Ovis aries: one gene and its partners. The protein of the gene in region 6 interacts with the protein of the main gene of each other region in a biochemical or structural test. Links are inferred from orthologs where the notes say so. Each region holds a gene or a part of one and is shown on either strand. Other genes may lie near its edges. The genes, in order: BAG3, FGFR2, GAB1, PDGFRA, WAS, PLCG1 and LAT.

Evidence for each region.
Region 1: the proteins of PLCG1 (region 6) and BAG3 form a complex in vitro, tested with the Homo sapiens proteins (2 studies listed by BioGRID). The link is inferred for Ovis aries from reciprocal best matches to the Homo sapiens genes PLCG1 and BAG3.
Region 2: the proteins of PLCG1 (region 6) and FGFR2 form a complex in vitro, tested with the Homo sapiens proteins (2 studies listed by BioGRID and IntAct). The link is inferred for Ovis aries from reciprocal best matches to the Homo sapiens genes PLCG1 and FGFR2.
Region 3: the proteins of PLCG1 (region 6) and GAB1 form a complex in vitro, tested with the Homo sapiens proteins (2 studies listed by BioGRID and IntAct, with this or other methods). The link is inferred for Ovis aries from reciprocal best matches to the Homo sapiens genes PLCG1 and GAB1.
Region 4: the proteins of PLCG1 (region 6) and PDGFRA form a complex in vitro, tested with the Homo sapiens proteins (2 studies listed by BioGRID, with this or other methods). The link is inferred for Ovis aries from reciprocal best matches to the Homo sapiens genes PLCG1 and PDGFRA.
Region 5: the proteins of PLCG1 (region 6) and WAS form a complex in vitro, tested with the Homo sapiens proteins (2 studies listed by BioGRID). The link is inferred for Ovis aries from reciprocal best matches to the Homo sapiens genes PLCG1 and WAS.
Region 7: the proteins of PLCG1 (region 6) and LAT form a complex in vitro, tested with the Homo sapiens proteins (2 studies listed by BioGRID and IntAct, with this or other methods). The link is inferred for Ovis aries from reciprocal best matches to the Homo sapiens genes PLCG1 and LAT.

What each region holds. Positions count from the first base shown.
Region 1 is NC_056075.1:39,302,553-39,306,052, forward strand, and holds part of BAG3 (BAG family molecular chaperone regulator 3), read left to right. Parts: intron 1-2,857; coding exon 2,858-3,181; intron 3,182-3,500. UniProt on the Homo sapiens protein: Co-chaperone and adapter protein that connects different classes of molecular chaperones including heat shock proteins 70 (HSP70s), e.g. HSPA1A/HSP70 or HSPA8/HSC70, and small heat shock proteins (sHSPs), e.g. HSPB8.
Region 2 is NC_056075.1:40,990,030-40,993,529, forward strand, and holds part of FGFR2 (fibroblast growth factor receptor 2), read right to left. Parts: intron 2,917-3,500; coding exon 2,779-2,916; intron 1,107-2,778; coding exon 1,001-1,106; intron 1-1,000. UniProt on the Homo sapiens protein: Tyrosine-protein kinase that acts as a cell-surface receptor for fibroblast growth factors and plays an essential role in the regulation of cell proliferation, differentiation, migration and apoptosis, and in the regulation of embryonic development.
Region 3 is NC_056070.1:14,499,040-14,502,539, reverse strand, and holds part of GAB1 (GRB2-associated-binding protein 1), read left to right. Parts: intron 1-883; coding exon 884-977; intron 978-2,217; coding exon 2,218-2,341; intron 2,342-3,500. UniProt on the Homo sapiens protein: Adapter protein that plays a role in intracellular signaling cascades triggered by activated receptor-type kinases. Plays a role in FGFR1 signaling. Probably involved in signaling by the epidermal growth factor receptor (EGFR) and the insulin receptor (INSR).
Region 4 is NC_056059.1:70,434,933-70,438,911, reverse strand, and holds the start of PDGFRA (platelet-derived growth factor receptor alpha), read right to left. Parts: upstream 2,801-3,979; 5' UTR 2,732-2,800; intron 1,266-2,731; 5' UTR 1,050-1,265; intron 1-1,049. UniProt on the Homo sapiens protein: Tyrosine-protein kinase that acts as a cell-surface receptor for PDGFA, PDGFB and PDGFC and plays an essential role in the regulation of embryonic development, cell proliferation, survival and chemotaxis.
Region 5 is NC_056080.1:56,408,888-56,412,900, reverse strand, and holds the start of WAS (actin nucleation-promoting factor WAS), read left to right. Parts: upstream 1-1,213; 5' UTR 1,214-1,242; coding exon 1,243-1,374; intron 1,375-1,727; coding exon 1,728-1,868; intron 1,869-2,990; coding exon 2,991-3,077; intron 3,078-3,179; coding exon 3,180-3,282; intron 3,283-3,386; coding exon 3,387-3,428; intron 3,429-3,521; coding exon 3,522-3,575; intron 3,576-4,013. UniProt on the Homo sapiens protein: Effector protein for Rho-type GTPases that regulates actin filament reorganization via its interaction with the Arp2/3 complex. Important for efficient actin polymerization. Possible regulator of lymphocyte and platelet function.
Region 6 is NC_056066.1:69,782,716-69,787,014, reverse strand, and holds the start of PLCG1 (1-phosphatidylinositol 4,5-bisphosphate phosphodiesterase gamma-1), read right to left. Parts: upstream 2,801-4,299; 5' UTR 2,742-2,800; exon of another isoform or gene 2,389-2,741; intron 2,283-2,388; 5' UTR 2,175-2,282; coding exon 1,958-2,174; intron 1-1,957. UniProt on the Homo sapiens protein: Mediates the production of the second messenger molecules diacylglycerol (DAG) and inositol 1,4,5-trisphosphate (IP3). Plays an important role in the regulation of intracellular signaling cascades.
Region 7 is NC_056077.1:26,377,513-26,381,530, forward strand, and holds the start of LAT (linker for activation of T-cells family member 1), read right to left. Parts: upstream 2,801-4,018; 5' UTR 2,491-2,800; coding exon 2,388-2,490; intron 2,272-2,387; coding exon 2,166-2,271; intron 2,040-2,165; coding exon 2,005-2,039; intron 1,749-2,004; coding exon 1,679-1,748; intron 1,559-1,678; coding exon 1,494-1,558; intron 1,403-1,493; coding exon 1,225-1,402; intron 1,155-1,224; coding exon 1,054-1,154; intron 1-1,053. Other genes in the region: SPNS1 (protein spinster homolog 1), read right to left, coding at 3,594-3,688, 3,968-4,018. UniProt on the Homo sapiens protein: Required for TCR (T-cell antigen receptor)- and pre-TCR-mediated signaling, both in mature T-cells and during their development.

The DNA of each region.
Region 1 (3,500 bases), on a different chromosome or scaffold from region 6:
AAATTTTCGTTCAAGGAGAAGTGTTAGTTTTCTAGTCCATAGACGTGAGATGACCTCAAGCAGTGTTTTCTAAACAAAGCCTGCCACACACCCCCGCCGCCACCCACCAGAGTATCAGGGCGCCTGCCTTCTTTTAGACACGACAATCATGAAGAGATGCATGGGGTTTTTATGAAACGGCATAAATGAGCTGTTTGTTCACAAGGAACCGGAAGTGCAGGCCGAAGATCTATAGGAAAGCAGCCTCTGGGCCCCTCCCAGCCTCCCTTTTTTCCTGCTTGGCCCCTGACGCCCCCGACCCGGCCTACAGCGACCAGGCTTCCCTCCGCTGCCCCAAGACCCAGGCCAGGTATTGGCTGTGCTCTCACAGCCCCAGGGCAGGCGGAACTGCTCCTCTGCCTCCTCCCCTTCTTCCTTCCTTTTTCTTCCCTTTCCATTTTCAACTGAGGCACAAAATATATTCGGCGAGATGCATAAAATGTATTGGCAGGCCCGCCCTCGGACCTTCTGGATCCAGGGGCTTCCCCCAGGAGTGGCCAGGCCTCACTCAGCCAGGCCTCTCTAAGGCTTCCAGGCCCCGGAGGCTCTGAGGTGGAGGCACGGCTAACAGCAGGGTGGTGGGGGGTGGCTGCCCTCAGGGGTTCAGCCTGGGTGGACTGAGGCAGGAGATGGGCAGCGTGGGGGCTCCAGAGACGACGAGACTGTGAGAAACCGCTCTCATACATGGGTGTACACTCATTTATCTCCACCACCCAGAGAGAGAGAACTTCTCCATCTCCTCAGAGGGTCCCTTCCCAGACGACTACCATTTCCTCCAGGTGTGTCCACCTTCCTGACTCCGGTTACCACTGGTTAACTGAGTCCTTCAGATTTGATTCCTTTGATCCCTGGGCGTCTTGAGTTGAAGCATCCTGTGCCCGTTTAAGAAGGGAATGTCTTTCAGCCCCCTGGGCAAACCCCTCGCCATGGGCACTCGTAACAGCTCACTACAGACCTGTGAAGTGGGTGTTGCTAACTCCATGTTCTAGCAAAGGGGATTAAGGCTCCGAGAGGTGAAGAGACTTACCCCCAATGAAAGAATGGTTACTAACAGAGGTAAGAAAGAACGGGAGCCCTCTTTAGGAAACCCCACCCTACTAGAGAAGCCCAGGTGGGCCCCTGTGCTCTCCAGGCGGTCGTCCTGTTTGTTCCACGCGGCCCTGGCCGGCAGGGATTGAGCCTTGCTGGTTGTGAACCATCGTACCCAGTAGCTTGGGAGCAGGCTGTTCACCAGGGGCCAGCCAGCGGACGAGGGCTGCTAACCTGCCCATCTCTGCTCTAGTGCGTGGCCAGGAGGAGGCCAGCAGGGACACCGCCCCCCGCACTTGTCCAGGCTCCGCTCCAGGCTGGAGGGATGGTGCCCCAGGGCGAGGACGAGGTGCCTAGCCGGCCTGTGATGAGTCAGCACCCAGCAGCACGGGCCTCCTTCAGCGCTGCTGCTGCCTTCCTTCTGGTGCCCGTCTCGTGGCAGGAATGCGCTTCTGAATGTGACGCCTGGACCCACTCCCTGCTCTTGGATGACCCGAGAGTTAAGCAGGCTAAAATAATGCCGCCACCCTGAGCACGTGGGTATTCTAATCTGAGAGTACCGCCTGTCTGCCGATGTCCCCAAGGACACGGCAACACTCGGGCCTCTCCGAAGTGCTGGGAGGCCCACTGGGGTGGCGAGCTCAGCAGGAGGCCAGAGAGAGGTTCACAGGTCTGAAAGATCTAAGGTCCAGGGCTTGCCCTCCTTGTGACCAGCTTCGCCCCAGCGGGAATAGAGCCTCAAGCCTTCTGGTGTTTGCCATTCAGGGGGATGCCTCGTAAGGAGGCATAATAGCTTGTCCACTTGGATCCATAGAAGTGGCACGAATCCTCAGCCCCCTCCTCTGTGAAAGGACCCTCTAGTGCTCAGGAGATGGTCAGGACAGAAAGCCGCAGGGGTCCCTGGCTTCAGTTGCCCAGCCTTTGCTTGGTGAGGAGTGACATTGCCTGGTGAGTGACTGGCCAGCCTTGTTGTCTGAAACAGGATCTTTCTCTGTGGTACATCTGGAACTTGGCCTTCTCAAGGGTCCCAAAATAGCCAGGCCACTGAAGAGAGAACTTCATGAGAGGACGTAGGAGGGACCCCAGCCGCTCCTCGCCAAGCAGGCTTTGTTGGCATCACAAGACCAGCACAACTAATCCCCGGGTTTTGTTCTCATCCTGTGCTTCTTCTGCATTCCTCGGGTATCTCCCTTTCTTGCCGCTTGTTCTGAAAATATTCCTGAGGAGGCTGCCTGCCCGCCGCTGCCCCTTCTCTGCAGATTTCTGAGCTGTAGCCTGTGTCGAGGGTCCCCCGCGAGTCTGCGTTGTCAGGAAATGTGAGGACCGTTTAGGAAGCCGAGATGCCGGCTGTAATCCCCTTAGCGAGTTGGCATTGAATCCTCCTAGCATCTTCTGATCTGGGTCTCTGAAGGTTTGGGAGGCTGTCGGGGACTCCGCTGTATGCAAGGCTGCCTTGTCATCCAGAACAAAAACCTGTTACCAGCTGGGGAAACTGGGACTTCTCCTCTGCGCCACAGATAACCTTGCTCGTCTCTTTCTTTTTCTTGATGCTTCTCATTCTTAAACTGCTGGGCCAGCAGCAGCTTCAGCAAGGGAGGAGGGGTCTGGAAGAAGTAGGGGATCGGGGGAGGTACCCACAGTTTCTGTGCTCAGCTGTCCTTGCTCCTGGCTGGCACCGTGGGGCCCAGAGTCACTCTGAAAGATCAGAGCATGTGGCATTATGCTTTCTCCTCCTCAGGGCTGTTTCCTTCTCAGTTTCTAACAGGTCTGTGTCTCCTCTCACTTTTAGGAAACCGCATCCTCTGCAAATGGGCCTTCGCGGGAGGGCCCCAGGCTGCTGCCCACTAGAGAAGGTCATGCCGTGTACCCTCAGCTCCGGCCAGGCTACATTCCCATCCCCGTCCTCCATGAAGGCGCCCCGAGCCGGCCGCACCCTGTCTTTGCCTACTCCCAGCCCGGGACACAGCGCTTCCAAACCGAGGCTGCTGCAGCAGCTCCCCCGAGATCCCAGTCACCCCTGCGGGGTGTGGCGGAAGCGAGCCAGCCGGATAAACCGAGTGCACCAGTGGCAGCTGCTGCAACGGCCCAGCCTCCAGCTTCCCATGGACCCGAGGTAAGGAGAGGCCTGGCTCACAGGCCGATATGACCGTGACCTGTGTGGGCAGGGGGAGGGATGGCGGGGAGCTGGGTTTCATGCTTCCTGGGCTGCCCCAGACCACAGATGACACCAGACCCTCATGACAGCTCCGTGAAATGTGGGGTATCGGGGCCTGGCCGGCATCACACAGCAAAGATAGCTTGCTGACAGCCCCATGTCCCCCCAGCATTTCACAGGCTGGTTTTTCTGATGAGCAGAGATTGTGGTTTGTTTCTGAAGCTCAGGAACTGGGGCTCAAGAAGGGGTAAACAGCTTGGTCCAAAAGCATAAAGTC
Region 2 (3,500 bases), on a different chromosome or scaffold from region 6:
ATTTTATTATTAAAAAAAAAAAATCAATCTGAAACTATTAAATACATTATTTTAAAATAAATGTATTCTTTCCCTTCTAAAATGTTTAGGCAGTTTTAACCTTTTCTGTTGTTATTAAGACAATTGCGGGAGATTTCCCCCCCTGTCTAAAGGAACACTGCTCCATATCCTCATTATATATCTCTAATTCATTCACTATTTCTCTCTGTTGTGGGGTTTTTTCTGCCTTTGATGGGTTCATCACCTTCCCTGCTCACATCACTTTCTTTCTACAACCAGAGATTACTCTCTCTGCATGGTGAAGTAGCCACTGACATGGCTGAGTGTGGACAGTGAGTGACAGAAGAGGGTTTCTTTTGTAGTTATAGGTTATAACTATTTTATAGAAAAAATATATTTTATCAGAAGTTTTCACTTAAAAATCTTGTAAGTCACTCATTAAAGAAGTGACTCTGTGTATGTTTACACTATGACCACACAGGGTCATGTAGGTCTATGTCCTGCATTATATAGAAGCTAGAATGGCACAACTTCACTTCATCCCGGCAAGTTCATTGGTAAGGGACCATCAGCAGCCCTCAGAGTAATGACCAGCAGCCCTCAGAGTAATGACCAGCAGCCTTCACACTAATGAGCAGGACAAGGAATCCAACCAGCACAGAAACCCCAGCTCCTTCCCTCTCAAATCCAAATGCTGTGGTTTTGGACATTTTTTTCCTCCTTCCCCATCTTTCTACATACACACACCACGGACCCACCACCCACATGCCACAGCGAGGGGCAGCCTCAGGTGGGGCCCTTGTGTCTGGTTTTGTGAGTTGGAACTCTCAAGATGAAGTTCCAAGAAAAGTCAGGGTTTGGGAGGAACATGGTTTCAGTCTATCCAAGCCCGGGAACAATGATAAACTGTACTCCAGACTCCCACTGGGGAGGCTGCATTTCAAAAGCTGTACAGGGGATTCCCAGCAAGGACCCTTGTCTTCTGGAAGGAGGCTCTTACCTCGTTGGTTGTGAGTGTGAGAATTCGATCCAAGTCTTCTACCAACTGCTTGAAGGTGGGTCTCTGTGAGGGTACTGCATGCCAGCAGTCTCTCATCATCATATACCTGGAAGAGATAGATTTCCTTGGTGAGTTACTTCCCTGAGGACTAGGGGTGTGGCTATAAGCCACTCTTAACAGTCAGTATAGAGAGATATCCTCAATTATGAAAACGTATCAGAACTTCCCTAGCAACTGAACTGGCAGGTGGTGATCCACTCTGCCAAAAGAGGCACTGCTCAGTTCCTCTGAAAGGCACTTTGATTTACAAAAACATCACTTTATCCAAAATGCTTAGGATAGTATCTACACCATCAAAAAAGACACTTCTGGGAATTCCCTGGTGGTCCAGTGGTTAGGACTGAGCGCTTTCACCACCAAGGATTGAGGTTCAATCCCTAACCAAGGAACTAAGATCTCACAAGCAATACGGTATGGCCAAAAACCCAAAAAGACACTTCTATCTGTTTTCCTGGTTGACTTCTGGTATCCCTGTGGCAGTGACTTATAACAGGGCATCACATTTCCATACTTCTGGACACTGTGGGAAGAGCCAGGTAGGGGTGGGTGGGAATCCAGTCTTCCCTCCCCACACGCCCCTGCCAGGACCAAAGCTGCTCTACTGTTATCTGCCCGACACTCTGGACAAAGGTTCCTCAGTTTTGAAAAACTGAAATTTGAAAAGCACAACATTAAGGCAAGGTTCTTATGAATTAATCTGTCATCACTGAGCTATGCCTTCACTTCCTGATTAACTCCTGGACAGGCCTACGCTCCCAGGCCTTATCTTGACAATGGGTTTCGACAGACCCTCTATAGTAGAAAAAGCCCCAGGAATGACAAGGAGCACAATAAATGGCTTTATATAATATACTATAAAATGTGACCATTCATCTGATGCCCACTGTGCACCGAAAAGCACTCATGGGATTACTGATATAAAATCCCCATGAAACAATACCCAAGAGACCGCAGTCTCTGGAACAATCCCTCTTCTTAGTTGACACTGGGAGCTGGGAGGAGAGACTCCTTTTCAAAGCACTGATTTTACTGCACAAGACGCTTGTCACCAACACAAGTAATTCCACTTAAAGTACAGGGTAGATTTTGCTCGAAACCAGTTTTATAGTCAGATCAGGATTAACAGTCAGACTATATTAGCACCTGGACAAATTTTTAATCCTCTGCACTGAAATATGGGTAAAATATAGGTAAGCAGATACTAGTTCATTCACCCTGAGGGCTGTGGTCGAAATCCATCTATAATAGCATAGGTCACAAAGAGGCTGCAGAAGCACCCACTCTCTACTCACAGTGCAGAGGCCACAGACCACTCATAAGAAATGGAGGCAGCCCCATGGGTCTCAGGCTTGTGCATGAGGGAAGGCTTGATGTATCTTCCTCTCACTCTGAAGAACAGCGAGGATAGCACAGTGGCCCAGGAAGATTACTGCGGGGCTCACTGTGGAAGGCTAGGAGCCCTCGGCCAAGCACCCAACACCTCAGTGGTGTAAAGCTCACTCCATACCACCCCAGAAGGATGCTCTTTCTTTTGGACAGTCAGGCCTGTCCGTGGAACTCTCTATCTCAGTTCTGGGACTGAGCCCAGGAAGTCTCAGCAATTCTTTTTCTCAGGACATATTTAGAAACCTGGGGACCTTAGGAAACGGAACCAGCCAGGAGAAGCGTTAGTGGCGTGGTGGGTTCCCTGGGGCATCAGGAGAGACAAGAGCCCTTACAGTTCGTTGGTGCAGTTTGCTGGCTTGTCCATCCTATGTCCTTCCTTAAGCAGCTTAAAAAGTTCCTCCACGGGAATCCCTGGGTAGGGCGAGCCCCCTAACGTGAAGATCTCCCACATTAACACCCCGAAGGACCAGCTGCAAAGAGGGGAGAAAACAGCATTAGTAACCCATCTGAATCACAGAAACCTAAACACACCCAGTTAAGAAAACAAACTCCCCCACACTTCTTACATTCAAAGACAAATGACCGGGGCCCTCCTGCAGTTCATCCAACCTGCCCCTTCCTGTCCCCAGAAAGCATCCCCAGATGACGATGAGGAGATATTCTGATGGAATTTTCCATCAGCAGACAACAGATAAGTGATGGTAAACCATCACTCTTTGGGGAGGGTGGAAAGGGGACACAAGGGATGGAGATTTGGTTCTTTCTTCCTCCTTCCACCACTTTCAAATAAAACTCTTTGTCTTTATGCAGTGTTATCAACATGAGCCTCTAAGCTGGAAATACCCCCTCACTGATTCTATTAGGGTGAGTTTCAGAAATGAAACTGACTTCAGTTTTGTATACAGCAAGAGAAGCAGCTCACTGCAAAACTGGAAACCATAAGGCTCTCCTTCTAGGACTGCTGAAGAGAACCAGTGGCAGTGCCACAGGCTCCATGCCTGCCCCAGAAACCCTCCCGCCCACACAAGTAAGAGTAGCTCAATTGACTTTTTAA
Region 3 (3,500 bases), on a different chromosome or scaffold from region 6:
AGCTAATAGTGTTGTACTTCTTTTTGCACATTTTCTGTATTCCTGGAATCTGAGTCTTACTTTGAGGGCAAAGAGCTCTGTGGTATATACTAGCAGAGTAGTTAATTCTTGCAGTAATTGATTGCAATAATGGGGTAAGTTAGTGAAGACCTCTTACAAATAAAGCTAATAAGAATATTAGCATTTATTTTTACTTAATTTAATAGAGGACATTGTTGGTTAAAAGAAGCTAAACATTTGAGGTAGTTAATTTTATGGCCTTTCTCAGATCTGAGTTTGAGTATAAAGACGTAATTATTGCTTTGTTCTATTTGGTTCCAGACTGGACCCGAATTAATTTCAAAACTTTAATCATTGATTCCTTTTTAAGTTTTTGATTTTAGCAAAGTGTTATGTTTATTGCTTTCGAAACATCATTTTGTATGTAAAGTTGCACAGCTCATGCTTCAGTGTGGATAATGAGGAACATTTTTACATAGAAAATTAAACCTCTGTGTTTGACGATATAACATTAGTAGAAAAAATAAAATAAGGAAATAATGAAAATTATAAATCAAATAACTCTGAAGGAATTGTGCCACATTACTCTTCTTCTCATTAAGTTTATAGTCATAAAATATGTACTTCAATTAAGAAGCAACATGTAATAATAGAGCTTTATTTAGACTTTCAGTAAACAGTCAGGAAATTATCTAATTTAGCCTTTGTCGCTAATTTTTTTAGCTGTGTAACCTTGGAGAAATCACATAACATCTGTGAACTTCTTTTCATGTGAAAACTAGCCAGTCCTAGGTGTACTCTGGCTATAGTAGAGGTGTAGAAAGAAGGTCATGTTTTCCAAATTTCTATGTACTAAAATCTCATTTTCTCTCTCTTGTTTCAGTCAAGCCAGCACCTTTAGAAATAAAACCTTTGCCAGAATGGGAAGAATTACAAGCCCCAGTTAGATCTCCCATCACTAGGAGTTTTGCTCGAGAGTAAGTCTTTATATAAAATACATAGCTCAATTGTTCTTTGTAATGGAAAGTACCTAAAACAGTGGTTCCCAGAGGATGGTCTGGGGAACCCCTCCCCTTTTGGGTTTCTGTGAAGTCAAAACTATTTCATTAATATACTAAGATGTCATTTGCTTCTCCACTCTCCTTCTCTCATGAGTGTACACTGGAGTTTTCCAGAGGTGGCTAATACTGGGCGATAACCATTGTGGCAGCTAAGAGAGTGTGCCTTTGTGTATGCCTGTGCTTAATTTTTTTTCTATTATTTGTAATATGGTGAATGTCAATAGATATCACCCTATAAACGAAAGTTCCTTGGGGTTCTCAATAATTTTTTAAGAATGTGAAAGGTTCATGAGGCTAGAAATTTCTGAGAACTACTGATCTGGAAACTATGGTAGTTTCTTGTGAGGATTATTTAATAAAGATTCATTTAAATATATACGTGGAAATAAAAAGAATGTACACAGTTACAAACCTGTGTTGATGTGTTCATATTTTATATGTATAAACAAGTTTTTTTAAAAATAAGAATGCTTAAATCTTCCTTTTTAAAGCTGTGACTTTCTATTTATCCCCCATATCACTAGCGATACTTTTTTTCTTTCTTTTTTTTTTGCTCTGCACAAGGCTATTAAATGCCCAGAAACATCCCTTTATGGGGAGATGTGAGTTCAGTCCCTGAGTTGGGAAGATCCCTTGAAGGAGGGCATGGCAACCCACTCCAGTATTCTTGCCCTAGAGAATCCCATGGACAGAGGAGCCTGGTGGGCCACAGTCCAGAGAGTCGCAAAGAGTGGGACATGGCTGAGCCGACCTAGCACAGCACAGCATCCCCTCACAGGGTGGGGGATCGCAGTAAGGAAGGGCAAGTAGGAGGTTCAGACTACTGGGTGTAACATAGGCTCAAGAATGTGTTGTACAACATGGAGAATAGAGCCAACATTTTGTAATAACTATAAATGGAAAGTAACCTTTCAAAGTTTTTTTTTTTAATATCTGTATAAGTTTCTCTTTAAATATCTGTTTACAAATAGCTATAAACACTAGATATGTGTTTGAATGTCTGCAATAAAGTGGACTATAGTAAATATGTATAGTAAATGATTACAAGCTTCAGTTCTTCTGGGAAGAATATGCCCTCTCTCTTATTCTTGCTGTGGAAGCGAGCTGAGAAACCTGGGTCAGGCTGTGTGTTTGTGACGACCCTCTCTGCCCTCAGCTCCTCCAGGTTCCCCCTGTCTCCCCGGCCGGATTCTGTGCACAGCACAACTTCAAGCAGCGACTCGCACGACAGTGAAGAGAATTACGTTCCGATGAACCCCAACCTATCCAGTGAAGACTCCGTGAGTAGCGTCTTCTCTTAACATCTCTCTTCCTCAGCAGCCCTTCTGAGTCGTTCGCGCTCAACCTTTCTTCCAGTTCATACACGTTACCCATCCACCTTTCTTTGTTTACTCCAGGAAAAAGGACTTTTTTTTTTTCTTTTGCTCTGTATGTATTTTAATTAATTCCATACTGGAGAGTGAGGAGTTTGAATAAGAAGTTAAGGAGAGTTTTTAAAATGCTTTTGAAAAGCAGATCATAAAGTCTAAAACCAATATCGGGTCAGAGGGTAATACTATATCTGTAAAGTAGATATAAGTTAGATAAAGATGATAAAAAATTTTCCAGTTATATTTCTTTTCATATGTACTTGATGTTTGAAACCATTCAAGAAAATGCGTTATACTGGAAGCATTTTATAATGCATTTCTCCAGATTCAAATCAGGGTGCTCAGGATGCTTTGTGTATTCATTTACACAAAGATCTAAAATCAAGCATTCATGAAATGAACCCTTCATGTTCCTTAAGGGTTGAAAATTAAGTTACGAAATTCACTTAATTAAGCACCTGAAATTCAAGTTATGGTACATCATTACTAATGACATATATTGTTTGTAACAATAACAAAAATATGTTTAATACTTGTATGTATTTTTTTCAAGAATTTTAGAAAAACAAAGCACTACTATTTTTTCTCTTTTTTTGGCCGTGACACATGGCATGCGGGATCTTAGTTCCCTGACTAAGGAACCAAACGCTTGCTCCCTGCGGTGGAAGTGCAAAGTCTTAGCCACTGGATCACCAGGGAAGTCCCAACTAATTTTTTTTTCTTTTAATTCACAGAACACCTCATAATAACTCCTAGAATCTTAGGGTTTTTCTAACTCTTTTGGGGAAACACTGTGTTAAAAACTAGAAGGCAGACACGGGCTGTTCCCAGTTGAGATTAGATAGGGAGCAAACAGACTTTTTTGTCGAGACATAGATTTTAACAATACTTAAGGATGAAAAAAATGCCAGTTCTATTAATTATTAGACAGAGCACAATTTAACTAGCAATCCTAAGAAATTCACTTTAGGAACAACTTACTTAGATTAAACGTGTACATCACATGAATTCAAGGGTTCTGTTCATAGCCTGCAGTGCTGTGAATAATTCTGTACATTTTCAGTTAGGG
Region 4 (3,979 bases), on a different chromosome or scaffold from region 6:
GAGGGGGAGGTGTTGATGCTCTGCCGAGAAAGAGGTTCGTGAAAATACATACTGCCCATCATTTCCAAAATGAGTTTGCCTCTTGATTTCGGGGGACAATTTCCTACACTGCTATGTTGCTTTGTATTTTCTTTGAAAGGAAGAAAAGGAACACGTAAAATTGCAGTTAATGCCCAAAGAGAATATAAATCTGGAGTCAAGAAGTGTCCCTTCTGTAGAAACCCCTAACCCACCCAGAATCCCGGCCGTCGGGAGAGGTCTCCGAGCCGTTGCGTCGACTTGAACCTGGGGTCTTTTAGGGAAAGTGCCGTATAGTTGCTAATCCTTTAATGGGATTAGGCAAGCTGTTGAGTCTAATATGAAGATGATGGGTGGTTTTTTTTCTTGGGCGGGCAGGGGGTTTGCTTTGGTTTGATTTTGTCCAAAGACAGATTTGAAGTAGGGTACAAAGAGTTGAGGGTCTGCCGTAGGTTTGGAACTTTCTCCGACAGAACGACCTTTACTCTCTTAAAGCACTTATCTTGTCTTGCCTTTGTTTTCATGGTTATCTGGGCGAGGTTGTCCTGGCTTCTATCACGCACACAAAAAGGCTCAGGCTTGATCGTCTGCGGAATCTTCTACAACCAGCCTGCTACCTCCGCGTTCAGGGGGAGGGTACAATTTGACTCTCCCCACACCCTCTCCCGACGCGTGGATCGGGCCGTACGGGTACACTAGGGATAAGAAGGGAGCCCCCAACCCTAGCCCTGGGGCCCCAGGCAGGAGACTAAGCCGGGAGAGGGCGATCCTGCTCGCGAAAGAAAGGGGGCGCTGACGCTCCAGGAACCAGACCTGGGCAGAGTGGGGCTTCCCAGCGAGGGCGGGGGAGGGGAGCGCGATTGCCTTCCCCACCTCCTCTAATTTCGAATTCTCTTGTTGGGTGGAGGGCTCAACCTTTACCACCACCCCCGACTCTGCCCCCCCCCCCCCCCCCCACACACACACTTGACAGTGGCCAGGGCGGCCTGGTTTAGGCTGGAATGTGGGACAGCCATCACCTTCTCCCTTACTTAGAGAGTGGACACGGAGCAGCCTGCAGGGGATGTTCACAGAGAAGTACTCGAAGGGGTGCTGTATGGAACTGCGACCGGCTCCTGGGGTGTCAGGTTCGTGAAGACGCCTGAGGCTGGGCTAGGGGCCTCATTCCTCCAGTCCTTCTGCGCAACCGCCTCCCGTGCATCTTCAGTTCGGATGACTGCACTGCTCACTATTACTTCCACATGTTCCTTCAGGAAATCATTGAAGGCAAATATATGAACAGCCCCTTGTTCGGAATGCTAACAGGATACCGTAATGTTTGTAGATAACGAACGGGGACTAAAGAACCCCCCAAAATCGGAGTGCGGAATAATAGGGGGAAAGCGGGTGCTGGATTTCATGCTAATAATAAAATCCAGCTGAGATGCAAATTTTTATACCACGGACTCGAGAGGGTAGGAGGCGAGGCAGGGCGCAGGGCCTACCCAGTAAGGCCTACTTTGCTGCTACGACATTGCCAGCCTGGTCAAGCCGGGATCTCCGGGACGCAGGCCTCTGCTCTCCCCGCCCACAAATGGTAACTTCACAGTTCCTTTCAGAGACGCTTAAAGGGACCCGAAAAGTGGACTGGGCCGGGGTGTCTTCGGGCCATAACTCCTCGCGAGTTTAAAACAGAGAGAACGGATGAGCAAGGAAGCACTCAGTCGTCCTTCTGGTAGTAATTACCTGCCTAATTTGAATGATGCCTTTGTTATGATCATTAACAAACATTTGCTAAAGGTTTCCATGTGTGACATTCCAGAAGGTTTAAAGGCCTGGGGAGCTGACTCCGGGGATGGAACACCGGTGGGGGGTGGCGCAAGGGAAGCAAATGGTTGGGAGATTTCCCCGAGCCTGGGCCGAGCAGATAGAGGGAGGTCAACATCTGCCTCCCCAGCAAAAGCAAAATAAACCCACTAGTCGGGAGCAACCTCGGGGCTGGAGGCCCACAAAAAGAGGCGGTTAGCTCCTTAAAATGAGTTCTGCCCACCCGCCCCTCCCACTGCTCATAGGCGGGTTTGAATCTTGCCGTCCGCCCTCCGCCGAGGTTCAGCGGATTGACTGCGCGCGTCTGTCAACAGGGGCGTCGCGGAGAGGTGGGGCGAGCCGAGTTTCCCTCTCCCAGTGTTGTTCTAAGATCCTTTCAGATTGCTCCCTCGATGCCCGGGGTCCTGGGTGGTCCAGGAGCCGCAGCGGGCAAGAAATGCCTCCTGGCCGAGGCGAACTGAGAGGTCTCTTCTCTGTCTGCTTCTGCCCGGGGCGTTGCGGGGGACCCACCACCCTGAGCTCCCGGAGGAGTGACCCTCGCCGGCTTGGGTACTTGAGCGAATGTCCCAGCCTCAACCCGGATTTTGATTTTCACCTCTTGTGTTTTTCCCTTGAGAGATCATCATGGAATTACGAATGAGGGTTTTTCCCTCAAACCCGCAGTCGAGGCGGCTGCGACCCTCTGGGAAGGAGGCCCAACTCGAGAGATGAGCCACGTTAGGGGAAGTTAGGGGAGCGTGGTGTTCTGGCGTGGCCTTGCGCATCTAGGCCCTCAGGCGACAATGAAATTGGAAGCAAGAGATGGAGCAGAGCCAGCCATCAAAAAGAGCCCCCCACCCGAAGTTTTTAAAACCAAATCCAAATGATCCCTGAAAACAAAACCAAAATCTCTCCCCGGCTCGCCTACCCAACTCCCGGGCGACCGCGACGGGCAGCAGCCCCGGGTCACACCTTTGAGTTTCGTGGGCGTTTCCCCGCTGAGTTGGCTTTCTGTTTCTCTTCTCCTTCTTCCCGGCGCTCCAGCTCCACCCCCCAGTTCTACTTTCCTCGGAGAATTCAGAAGGTACTTGGGCTTTGGAAGACCTCTGATTACAGCAGTTATCAAAGACGATAGTAGCGAAAATCACCTTTAAGCCAAGTCGCAGTTGGTCCTTTCAAATGAAGTTGGGGGTTTGTGGTGAGGGAGGGACGCACTTCTAGCTTTTTTTTTTTCCCCCCTAACTTTCTGAATTGAAAATAAAGGGCCATTTGGTGGCTGGGGGGCGGAGGGAGGCGCTAACTGTCCCATTTCCCACCCTCTTTCAATTCTTGTCTGAGCCTGCAAGAGACACCTCCCTGGGCCGGCAAGGGACCTTAGTGAGGAAGGCTCCGAGGAAGCTTGCGGATGGTGGGGTTCCCGCCCTTGCCTCGGGTCTGCCCCAGCTGAGGTTTGGAAGCTTGCTCTAGTCTCTGCAGCTCAGAATACAGAGGCCCAAGTCTTATTAAAAGAGGAGAAAGAGGGTCCAGACAGGCTCGTGTAACTTGGGGCGACAGTTCTCTCTGGGTCCCCCTAAACACCTCATCTTCTTGCTGGTGGCTGACTAAGGGTGCAGCGTCTCTTCTGGGTTCTTAGAGGCTTTCTCTTCAAAGCTTTGTCTCCAAAGAGAAGTCCAAAGCCATTCCCCGTGGCTGGAGACCAGCCGCGCCTCTGCTAGGGCTAGGGTTCCAAACACTTGAGCCTGCTTTGTGACCCGAGGACCATAGACTGTGAGCTCTGTTTCCCACTCTGACGAGCCCAGGGAAGGACTAAGCTCCCCAGAGCTGAGAAAGACATGGTGGGACTAGACCCCCCCTGGGTCTGGATTCTTGGATACCCTCTTCCTAGGGAGAGAGCACGGCTTTCTCAATATGGAGAGGGTTTTGCACCACCTACTCCCCTCTCCTTCTGTTAGACCTTTAGCTTTTAGTTACTTTTAATTTGAAAGCCGTGTGAGGGGAGAGGGAGGGATCGAGGAGATTGGGAGGTCTGCTCTTTATTAGGGGCCTCAGCATCCAGCTTTCCAACTCACAGCTGTGGCTTGGGAGGGGCAGGAGGGCTGGCTCTGTTTAGGTCAGCTTGACTGAAGAAAGGGCCTTGTCCTCAGGAAGTCCCAGGAGTAAGGCAAGGGCTAATGAT
Region 5 (4,013 bases), on a different chromosome or scaffold from region 6:
TGGAGAATCCCTTGGACAGAGGAGCCTGGCAGGCTACAGTCCAAAGGGTCACAAAGAGTTAGACACAACTGAAGCGACTTAGCATGCGCACACACACGCAGAGTAACACAATAGAATGCTATATAGCAGTAACAACTACTGCTACTGGCAAATATGAATCTTAGTAACAGAGCGGGCGGTGGAGCATCTTGATGAAAAGTGCACACTGACCAACCTGCCTGGCATGCTAGCTTGGAGCTACTGGGGAAATCATGTAACCACTCTGGGCCTCAGTTTCCCTCCATCAAATGGCAAAAATAGCGTGTTTCCCCCAGGCCAATAGGAGGGTTTATACGAGTCAATATTTACAAAGAGGTCAGAAGAGTGCCTGGCACACATGTTCAGTGCTACATGAATATTAGTTAGATAAAAATAGAATGTTGAGGGACTTCCCTGGTGGTCCAGTGGTTAAGAATCTGCCTTCCAATGCAGGAGACGTGAGTTTGATCCCTGGTTGAGGAACTCAGATCTGACATGCCAAGGGGCAACTAAGCACTCGCATCACAAGAGAATCCCAAACACCACAAGGAGAAGCCCTTGCACTGCAACAAGAGAAGCCCATGTATCGCAAAGAGCCTAAATAAGTAAATAAAATAAAATATAGAGTATTGAGTGGGGGAAAAGAAGAGACTCCAAAGATTACACACTTTCAAAAGTTCAGAAGCAACAGCAACTAAATGCGATGGTGTGGTAGGGATGGGGAAGTTGAGCCAGGTGTGAGCGAGTTGGGGTCTCAGGAGAGAGGTGGGGTCCCAGGTGCTTGCTATGTAATTAAAGGAAAATCTGTACTGCAATAACCCTTCAGCACCAGAGCCTTGGACCTTGGGCCCAGAGTAACTGGATGCTTTGGGGAGGAAGAAGGCCGCTCAGCCCATGACTGCCCCCCGTGGCACTGCAGAAATGCTGCAGTGGCCTATCCCTCACTGCCAGCCAACCAAAGGGAGGAGGGTCCAAGAAGTCAGAGGGAGATGGGCCCCAGAGAGTAAGAAAGGAGGACAAAAGCTGGTCCAAAAGATGGCTCTAACCAGTCAAATGGAGGAGGGCCTCAGTCTAAAGGAGGAGGCCAGGCCTACCGAGGGGCCCCTAGAGGACTTGTTTCCCTTGTGGTTTTTTTGCACTTCCTGTTCCCCCACTCACTGCGGAAGTTCCTCTTCTTACCCTGCACTCAGAGCCCAGCCGGAGAGGACAAGGGCAGGAGGCACCATGAGTGGGGGCCCTTCAGGAGGCAGGCCTGGGGGCCGCGGAGGACAAGGGGTTCAGCAAAACATCCCGTCCACCCTCCTCCAGGACCATGAGAACCAACAACTCTTTGAGATGCTCGGACGAAAGTGCTGGGTGAGCTGGGGACCTTCTGGCCCTCCTTGTCTCCCTCTCCTCTTCTCCTCCTCCTCTTCGTCCTCTTCATCTTTCCCATCCTCTCCCTCTCCTCCTTTCCTCCCCTTCCTCTCTCCTCATCTTTCCCATCCTCCTCTCCTTCTCCTCCTCTTCCTCTCCATCATCTCCTTTCAGAATCCACTTACCCCCATTCACCAATCCCAGGAAGAACTCAATGTTCATTCACTTTCCCTCTGGTTGTGGCTCTTCCTTTGGAGCCATGATGGCCACAGGCAAGAAAGGGCCAGGACTGGTTCCCAGACCCTCTGGATGCCCCTGACTGCATTCCAACGAGTCCTACTCTCCCCTCTCAGACGCTGGCCACTGCGGTTGTTCAGCTGTACCTGGCGCTGCCCCCTGGAGCCGAGCACTGGACCAAGGGACACTGTGGAGCTGTGTGCTTCGTGAAGGATAACCCCAAGAAGTCTTACTTCATCCGCCTTTATGGCCTTCAGGTGATCCCCGCCCCACCACTGGACAGACAATCCAGTTTTCAACCCATAAACCCAGATCTGTGTCCATAGCCCTGAGCCCTCAGACGGATCAGTGAACCCCCTGAGCTCTAGAACCAAAGACTTTATCCAGATGCCAGCCTCTGGTTTGTCTTTCTAAGCCTGTGATGACTGACCCCAGAGTCTTTGTGTCAAGATCTGTAACCCCCAATATTAGTATACCCCCTAAATCTAATCTGTTCCACAAACTCCATATATATATATATATACACACACACACACATATACTATATTTTTACCTGAACCTCATGTCTATTCGAAACTCCACATTTTAGGTCTCAGAAACCTCCCATCGGTACTCCTGAACTCCAGAATTTTGCCTAGCTTCTAAGTCAAAAATATGTTCCACAAATCCCAAACCTAAGTATGCCATTGAATCTTCAACTCCAAATCTGTCCTTTTAAGCCCACAGCATTGGATCCCAGAACTTCTATATGAAAACTCCTAATCACCTAAGTATTGCGGTAGCTCATAAGTCAAAAACCTATTCCACAAACCCTTAACCTAAATCCTCCAAGCATAAACCCCCAATTCATCCCATTAAACTGATAAAGATAGACCCAGTAGAACCGCATCAAGATCCCAGGGTCATCAAATATTGACCAAACTCCTAATTTATAACTCTGCTCTCCAAATCTCAAATTGGCTCAACCCCCTCCAAAAACCCTTCCCAAGTCTGTATTTCTGAACCTCAAATCTCAATCCCAACTCCTAATACTGGAACCCTACCTGACCTAATGAAGGTCCCCATATAAGGGGGGGATTTGGGACAGATTCTCTGAATGGACTCAGTTTCCTAGAACTAGAGTCCCAAATCCTCAAATTCAAGTCCCCTTATTCCACATCTGGACCCCAAATCCAAGTTTCTCGCTGAAGGGTCTGACTCCCATACTGTACCCTAATCCTCCACATCTGACTCCTAGATTCCCAGCTCCTCAGTTCTGAGCTGGAATTCTCCAAATCAGATTTTGGGGCCCCAAATTTGTATACCATGCTCCCTATCTGGAAAACAGAGGCCCTCCACCCAGGGTGTGCCTCGGTGCCAGTGTGCTCCCCCCTCTCCAGGCTGGCCGGCTGCTGTGGGAACAGGAGCTGTACTCACAGCTGGTCTACTCTGCTCCCACCCCCTTTTTCCACACCTTTGCTGGAGATGTAAGTGACCACCTAAACCCTGGGCCTCAGTTGGGGTGCAAGGAGGAGAGGGGAAAGGTGTGGGGAGGTCTGGAAGGCAGCTGACCCCCCAGGCATGTGCAGGACTGCCAAGCGGGGCTGAACTTTGCAGACGAGGGCGAGGCCCAGGCCTTCCGGAACCTGGTGCAGGAGAAGATACAAAAACGGAATCAGAGGCAAAGCGGGGGTAAGAAGGCCTTGGGGAAGGGAAAGAGGTTGAGAAGAAGTGAGGGCAAGAGTGGGGAGCTGGAAAAGCCCCTCTCCTGATTCTGATTTCCTGTCTCTCCACAGACAGGCGCCAGCTCCCGCCTCCACCAGTGCCAGCCAGTGAAGGTGAGTCCTCTAGTGCAAGGAGGAGTAATAAGGGGCTAGCGCAGAAAACTGAGGCAGGGTTGTGATAGTTCTCTATCCATTCCATCTTCCCAGAGAGAAGAGGAGGGCTCCCACCCCTGCCCCCGCACCCAGGTGGAGACCAAGGGGGTGAGTGCTGAATATTTCCTGTGTCTCTGGGTGGGCAGGTATCACCAGCCCCAGAGACACCGGGCTAGCTGCTGGGCCTGTGGGGAAAATGGGTGACTGGGCCATTGACCCATTTACCTACCAACCAGAGCATAAGAGAGACAGGAAGGCGGTTGGGAGAATCAGTGTGTTAGATGGTCATGGAAGGAGTGGGAGAATGAATAGATACACAGGTGGGGCGTGGGCAGATAAATGAGTAGATGGGTGGGTGCAGTGATAAATAGGTGAATGAATAGGTGGATAGATGTGTGGGTGGATGGATTGGTGGTGGACAGATGGTTAAATGGGGGCACGAATTGATGGGAGGATGTAGATGTACAGGTGGGTGTATAGATGTAGGTGAATGGGTATGTGGGTGAGTGGATAAATAGATGGATGGATGATTGAGTAAATCAATGA
Region 6 (4,299 bases):
GGTCCCTGTGCTCCTCCCTTCCTGCTCCCTCACCCTTTTGTGCAGCCACACAGTCCCAGTCTAAGAGTGACAGTCATAGTCTATCACCGTTGTCATGAATAACAGCTTACATTTATTAAACATTTAGAACGTATCCAGCAGCACAGGAGTTGAAGGCAAGGTTGGATTTGAAGCCCACGTATATTGTCTTACATTAATCCTCTCCTTTATCCCCCTAGAATAACCCCATTTGGTGGAGATATTATTACTCCCACTTTACAGATGGTGACACTAAGGCTCAGAGAACTAGCTGGCTGGGGGCGATACACAACTAATACATACGGGCTTCAAACCCAACCTTGCCTTCAACCGCTGGGCTGCACTTCAACTGCCTGCTGGTCCCATGCACGGTGTGAAACACAGCCTCTCAGCCAGGAGAAGTCTACCTGGGAACCTCAGCCAGCTGCTACCAATTCAGGAGAGCCCGGGGAATCCACAGACACATGGAAGGGCCATGCCTGGAGTCTGACGCCAGGGTGATGTCCCTCCAGTCCTCTGCAGGATATGTCCTTCCTCCACTCTGGAATCCAGCCTCTCAAATTCTCTAACATTTTCTCCTGCAGGCTGCCAGGGCCCGAGGAGGGGTCACGGAGGAAGGTGGCTGTCGTGTGGAAGTTCAGCAGCTGTGTGAGATCTGGAGTGTGTGGCTGAGGATGGCTGTCTCACCACAAGACCTTCCTTCCTCCCCGTCTCCTCAGTCATCTACACGCCATACCCAAGGTCTGGAAGACCTTCTCTTGGGGGGTGTCACTTCCTGAACCCTCTTCCTCTACACAGTCCTAATTCTGAGCCTGGCTCTAACTCCAGTCTCGGGGTGGGGGTGGGGGTAGAGGGGGTTCTTGCAGGAAGCAACCCACAGCCTGGGGTTGCAGACACATCATCTCACACTTGGAGGTGGGCGAATGGAGGGCAGAGCTGGGGGGCCCATCCGGCCACAGCACAGGCACGCACTCAGTGGAATCACTCTCTGAAGGATCTGGGGTTTTTCAAAATCCCCCAACACACTCTTTCCCAGAAGCAGCCAAGGTCAGGTCTGGGACAGCAAAGAGGCAGGAAATAGTAGCCGCTCCTGGCTCCCTCCAGCCACAGGACGCAGGACACAAAGAGCTGGACCCCAATTTGGCTGCGTCCTCTTGAAGAGTACCTGACACGAAGCAGCGAGGCTGGGCTTTCTGGGGCCAAGCTCTGGAGAATGTGCTTCCAAAGGACAAGGGGAAGGCTGGCCTCTTTCCCTGCCCTGGCTTTGGGAGTCTGCCCACGCACACAGACCTCCAAAATTCAGTTTCAGGACAAAAGAAGCGGCGGGAAAAACATCCACTGCCTCCTCTCGGGCTTTTCCAAACCAAACAAGACCACCTTCCTCCCTGGCCCCAAGAGAGAGATGAGTAGGCCCGGCTCTGCTCCAAAACCAGCCCTACGCCAACAGCTGCCTAAGTTCTACTTGGGGAACCCAAAGGTTCCTTTGTAAGTAGGAGCCCGGCCGTGAGGCCCAGAGGTGCACCAGATTGCTCTTTTTGGAAAAACGGTGCATCTGGTCTGGCCTCCGGTTCCGCGGCTGCCGGGGAGAGGACACTGCCTCGGCCGACACCGCTCCCGGGGTGTCGGGGGACCCGACGCCGGCCCCGCTGGTCTCCAACTCGCTAGGATTTTTAGGCCTCTGGGCAAAGCGCCTGGAACACTCCCCCCCTTGCTGGGGGAGGGGGTGTCCTGTCAGGTGACTGAGGACCCGGATGCCCCCCGCCCCCGGTGACCACCCTGGCCGAGGCGGGGGCGGGGCCCGAAAGTTCGCCGGAGTCTCTCCAGCGGCGGCCCCCGGGCGCGCGCAAGCCGGGGCGCAGACCCCGCGCCGCCCGAGCGCGCGCGCCCGCGCAGCAGGCCCGGGGAGCCGGGGGTGTGCAGCGAGGGGGAGCGCACTTACTGGCCCCCTCGATCTTGTCGGCGCCTCGGCTCCACGTGATCTGCCGCGTCTCCAGCTTGACCTGGAAGGTCTTCCGCTCGGGCCGCTGCGACTTCTTGGAGTAGAACAAAGTCATGACGGTGCCCACCTCGAGGCTGCGGCAGAGGTGCACCACCTCGGCGTCCGAGGGCGCGCCGGGCCCGCAGCCATTGGCGCAGGGGGACGCGGCGCCCGCCATGGCTCGGGTGCCGGGGGCGGCGGCGGCGGCGCAGGCCCGGCGGGAGCGAGCTGGCGGCGGCGGCGGCGGCGCAGGCGGCGGGCGAGCGGACCCCGGCGGCGGCGGCTCCTGCGGGCGGAGACGGGGCGGGGCCTGAGCGGGGGCGGGGCGGTCCTGCAGGCCCCGCCCCGGCCCGCGCGCCGGGAACAAAGGCGCCCGCGCGCCCGTGGGGAGGACCCCCGCCCGCCGCGCCTGCGCCCCGAGACCCCCCGGGCAGGCCCCGCGTCAGGGCACGCGCGCGCGCGCCTCCCGCAGTCCGCCAGCCGGGCCCACGGCCCCGCGGGGTCTCTTCGCGCCGCCCCGGACACAGCCCGGCTGCCACGGCCGGTCCCGTCACGCGCGGCAGCCTCGCGCCGGCCCGGCCGTCTGTCGCGCGCGCACAGGCGGCTGCCCAGCCCACCGTCCCGCACAGGCCCGGCCGCGGCGGCTCCTTCCGAAGCCCGCTAGCGGGGCGACGCCCGCGCGGCCACCGGGAAAAGAAGTGCAGGCCCGGGGCGCCTCCCGGGGCCCGCCGGTCAAACCCGGTACCTGGGAGGGCTGCCCGGCTGAGGGAACCAGGCCAGGCCGGGCCGCCTTAGACCGGCGGCGGCGGCGGCGGCGGCGGCGGCGGAGGAGGAGGCGAGTCCTCCGCGCGTCCTCTCCAGGGCGGGGCGGGGGCGGGGCCACCCGGTGATTGGTCGGCAGGCTCTGACGGACAGTCTGAGTGTCCCGCCTCTCCCCCCTCCCTTCCCCGGGCAGCCGGGGGCGGCCCCGCCGGCAGCGCCTCCGACCGTCGGACCCACGATCTTCCTGGCCCTGCGGCCGAAGTGGCCTCGCGGGTGTGTGTGGGGAGTCCCGTTATTCGGAGTAGCCCACAGGCCTGAGCATCCCCTGCGAGCCCTCCAGTGGTCTTGGCCTGGCCATACACTTCGCACCCCCACGCCGCGAGTATCCACGCGACTAGGATGGGGACTCAGGCCCTACGGCTCCGCACCATTCCTGCAAATGCTCTCCCGAGCTTTGGTTTTCCCGGGCCGACTCTATCCCTGTTTTCCTCCTCGGTCTCTGGCCGCTGCCTTTCGACACCTCAGCAACTTCTCTTGCTCAGGGGTGGGTCCTGAGTCAGTTCCCAAGGCGGCCTGACCTCTCAGCGTCACTGCCCCCCGCCCCCTGCCAAATTCAGGCACCCGAGCGCCGAAGCTCTATCCCTCCCTGCATCCCGTTACCTGTTCCACAACCCCACGTAGCACAGACATCTCACATCTCTCTTCAAATTGCTTCTCCCATGGTCTTCAGTTTCTCAGAACATGCCTCTGGTAAGGTGCTCGGGCTAAAACCGATGGAGACAGCCTTGGTTCCTCTCTCTCTCTCCCTCAACCCCACAGCACTCCGTCAAGTCCCATTCCGTCTGCCGTCCCATGTCTCCGCTCTGCCCACAACCTCAAGGCCCATCTTCTCTCATCCAGACTATTTACCCTCCTTGGTTTTGCCTGCATGTATTCCCTATGCTCTAGTTTGTTTGTTTCTTTTTAAATTTGGCTGTACCGGGTCCTAGTTGCAGCATGCAGGATCTTTTAGTTGGGGGCTGTGGGATCTAGTTCCCTGACCAGGGATCGAACCCAGGCCCCCTTTGTTGGGAGTGCAGTCTTAGCCATTGGACCACTAGGGAAGGCCCTATGCTCTGGTCTTCAAAATGAAATTAAATCCTGACTCCCTACCTCCAGGCTCAAATCATCCAGAACTTGCCATGGCACACAAAATCCCCTACCTGGCCCAGCAGGTCCAGCATGGTCTGGCCCCTTTCTATCCCACTTCATCTCTCACCACCTCCCTTTCATTCCATTCTCCAGGCACAAGTTCTTTTGGTGATTATTCGATTAATCTGTACTCTTTGTGTTGCTACAGCCACTCCCTAGACGCACCCCGGGCCGTCTAATTGCCCTGTCACAGAACACCGCCCAAGCTAAAGACACCTTCAGTCACAGTAGAGCCTGTCTGACGGATGTTGAGCCAGACAAAGCAGGACAGCATACTGCATTTTACAGGTAAGAGGCCCAGCAGGGCACCCAGCTGATGCTAGAGAAAGATCCAAGGAGTTCCCTGGTTA
Region 7 (4,018 bases), on a different chromosome or scaffold from region 6:
GGAAGATCCCCCAGAGAAGGAAATGGCAACACGCTCTAGGATTCTTGCCTGGGAAATCCCGTGGACAGAGGAGCCTGCTGGGCTACAGTCCACAGGGTTGCAAAAGAGTCAGACATGACTTAGTGACTAGATAACAACAACAAATACACATAAAACTCTTTAGCTGCGAATGTATGAGGTCCTCAGTAATGCGAGCTGCTTTAATCATGACTTTTTCTCATTCAGTTCAGTTCAGTTCAGTCGCTCAGTCGTGTCCGACTTTTTGCAACCCCATGAATCGCAGCACGCCAGGCCTCCCTATTCATCACCATATCCCGGAGTTCACTCAGACTCATTAGCAGTGATTATTTCAGGGGCAACCAGTAAGTATGATGGCTGAATTGTGTGAGTAGATGGACGAACATGAGTGAGTGAATGAATGAATGAAAATAAGCACTTGGACAGATGGTTTGGGGCCCAAGAGAGAGGCCATGAGTTAGGGATGATGCGGATGGCAAATTAAGCCAGGGTGTGGACACGATGGCACAGAGCAAGCATAGAAGGAAAAGAGTAACGGACACTGAAGATCACAAGACACTGATAAAAGCCTCCAAGAGGCAGGATGAAACCAAAACGAAGAGCGAAAAGTAGCCCAAAGGAAACTGAAACAACACTGGAAGCAGAAGAAAACTTTCCAAAGAAACCCAAAAAAGACAGCTGATCATCACTATCCTTCGAGATCTGCAAGATGATATCACCTTCATAAGACAAGAGAGGAGGCTCTGAGAAAGGAATATTCAGAGATGAAGAAAGAGCTTTTGGACAAGAAAGACAAAAGCTCGGAGCCCAAAGAAGAATAGAGTCAAGGAAATCTTGCAGACAAAAAGGCAAACGATCAAGAGGGAAGAGGAGAGAAAAGAAAAGAAGATCGGAGCCGGAAGTCCCCTAGCTGAAGGACAGGAGGGCTAGAAAGAGAGAAGCGAGAAGATGGAGGGGCGCAAGGATCCAGGAGGAGAGGGAAGACCGAGGAGCCGCAGCACGGAGGGGCAGGGAGTGGTCAGACGGCCGACTCACTGGAGAAGGCGCTGTCTCGGAGGCCGGGTTTGCTGGGCGCAGGAGCCTGTGAGACGGCGTTGCCAGTGCTGGTGGCCGGGTCCCTGTCAGGAAGCACCACCCTGCGGGAGTCAAGGGTCAGGTGAGCGAGGAGCCCTGGCCTCGGCCCCCACCTCCCACCTGGCCACTCACAAGTAGCCCTCATTGTTATAGTCTTCGTCATAGTCATCTTCATCCGCATCCTCACAGGCTGCCTCTGGGGGTAACGACACAGGGTCAGCGGAGCCCAGGACGGGTCTCAGCCGCCTCCCAGCCGGGGCCACAGGGGTCCCAGTCACACCCTCGTTCTCGTAGCTGGCCACGCTGTTGGCTGCAGAGAGAACGCAAGAGGGAGACTGAGTCAGCTCGGAGGGGGCCTTTACCCAGTGGTCCCAGCCCTGTGGGTCCCGCTCCAGGCTTACCGCTATCTGAGTCCTGCCGGGACGACGCCATACGGTGGGAGCCTCCGAGGGGCTGCGGGGACCTTCTGGGCGTCAAAGGTCAGAGGTCATACTAGGGTGGGGCTCTAGGGGGAGAGGGCTTGCAACAGGGCAAGAGGCCCCCAATCCAAGGAGGTGAGGGGTTAAAGAGGGGATTTGGTACTTACGGGATGGGGAGCAGGTCTGGCTGGCTCGGGAGCGGGTAGGGAGTGGTCGATGGTCGTGGGACGAGTGTGGCTGAGGACACAGGACCAAGCTGAAGGAATGACTCCACACCTCACACCCCTACCCTGGACAAGGCCTCGAAAGGCAGACTGACCCCTGCCACCCCCAGGGCCCTGGAGAGTCCTGGGCGGGCAGACACGATCTCCCTCCCCACCCCCAGCTCAGGCCATGTGGGCGGCCACAGCGGGGAAATGAACAAAAGCACACGCTCTCCCAGGCCAGGGGACCCTCTCCCCGCACCCAAGGGAGGGGACACTCATGTACTCACGAGGCAGTTTGATCATGATGCTACTTGGGGTCAAACTGGCAGGAGAGACAGAGCTCAGGTCAGCAGCTGGGAGAGGCCCTGGACCCCACCCCAGGCCCCCAGGGGCCCAGCCCCACACGGGGCATTGAGGGAGTCGAACGGGGTCGACAAGGCAGACTCACCTATCGGAGACGGCAGTGTCGTATGAGCCTGGGGAAGAGAGGGCCCGTGAGGCAGGAAAAGAGGGTGACGAGGGCAGAGGGTGATGGAGTATGGGGCTCTCAGCGTCTCCGCGTGCAAGAAAGAGTTACAGACAGTTAAAGGGAAGGAAGAGGTCAGAGAATGGAGTGAGGATCCCTAGCAGTGTGTCTGGGCATCTGGTCAACCCACTGGCACCCACTCACCTGGCAGCTCCCGGCAACGGACACACAGAGCCATCAGCAACACGGCCAAGAGAGGCAGCAGCAGGGGCCCCAGCACGTAGACAGGCAGGCTGACCGCCTCCATCTGCTTGGACCAGGCCCAGCTGCTCGCTGCACACCCCTCCACACAGAGAAGCAGCGGGCAAGGGCCAGGCCGGGAAGGGTACCGGCGGCCGGCTGAGAGCCTGAAGGCAGGGGTTCCTCTGGATCCCCTCCCCTCGCTGGGCTGAGCGGGTGTCAGCGCTGGCTCTGGAAGACCCTGGACCCCAGGGTGGTCAGGCCAGGGTCTGGGCTGGAGTCTGGGGCACCAGCCACCCCTACACAGACCCTGTGCCCCAGCCCTACCTGCCCCTCGCTCCGCGCCCGCCTCTCCTCAGCGCCTGCCTGCCTGTGGCAGGAAGCTGTGGTGAGCGCCGGGTGAGGGCAGGAAATCATCGGGGCTCAGCCAGCTGCACCCGCCCCCTTCCCACCCCCACTCAGCCAGTGAGGAGGGGGAGGAGGCCACCTCAGGAGCCACCCTGGGCCCTCCAGAAGGGTCAGCTGGTCTCCCTGGCAAGGGGCAACTCATAGCGGGGGTGAGGAGGGAAAGATGCTTCCAGGCCAGTCAGTGGCCGCGGCCTCCACAGCTGTGGCTCACGGAGGCAGCAAAGAGAGGCTCCGACACCGGGAATTCTGAGGGGCCCCTGGGTGTGCCCACCCCCACCTCGCCCTGGCTGGCCTGCGGAGGGCGGGCTCTAGGGGAGACACGGGCATGACTCACGGTCACACAAAGCCAGCTCACTCCACCCCAATGCTCACCGGCCCAGAAGGACAGGGCTTTGCCCCAGGGCCCACGGGGGTCACCCGACAGCCGCTGGGACCCTGGGGGTAGAGAGGGGGCATCCCCCACCATCCAGAGATCAGAGGTCCCTAACCCAGAGAGACTCCAGCAGGCACTTGGGGTTCTGGCTACAAATTTTATTCAGTTACAAATAGCACCGAGCCCCCAGGGCTGCTCCAGGGGCAGGGGCTCCCCCGTCCCGAGCCCCCAGTGTCCCCACTTGGCTACCCATGTAGTGTGTGGGAGCTGGAACACGGCCCAAGGCCCCTCCCGGAAAACGGGCTAGCCGAGGAGTTGGGGCCTGGGCACCTCCTGGGGTGGGCCCAGGGCCAGCTGTGATAGGTCTGCAGATAGCAAGCGGTGATCCCTCAGATAAGCACACTGGACACAGGGACCCGGGTGGAGCGTCCTCGCTGGGGCACCACAATCCGGTCATCGGTGGGCCCGGTTTCAGGCAACAGACCTGCCAGGGAAGAGAATCAGAGCCAGGGCTGGATGGACAGACAGACACAGGCCCAGGAAGGGGACGAACAAGCAGTGGCAAATGGACAGGGCAGCATTGATGGGCACACAGCAGGGCATGAGCTCATGGGTCAGGCAGCCCTGAAGCCGAGGAAGGGGAGGGCTGAGGACTGAGAGAGGCCAGGTACACAGGGCTGGGCGGGCAGACAGACAGACAAGCAGGCAGCATCATGAAGCTAGACAGGGAACTGTGGACTGACAGAGGGGAGGCCCGACCGACCCTGCACGTGCAGCTGAGCCTGCCGGCGGTCGCTCTCGATGAAGATGGCGG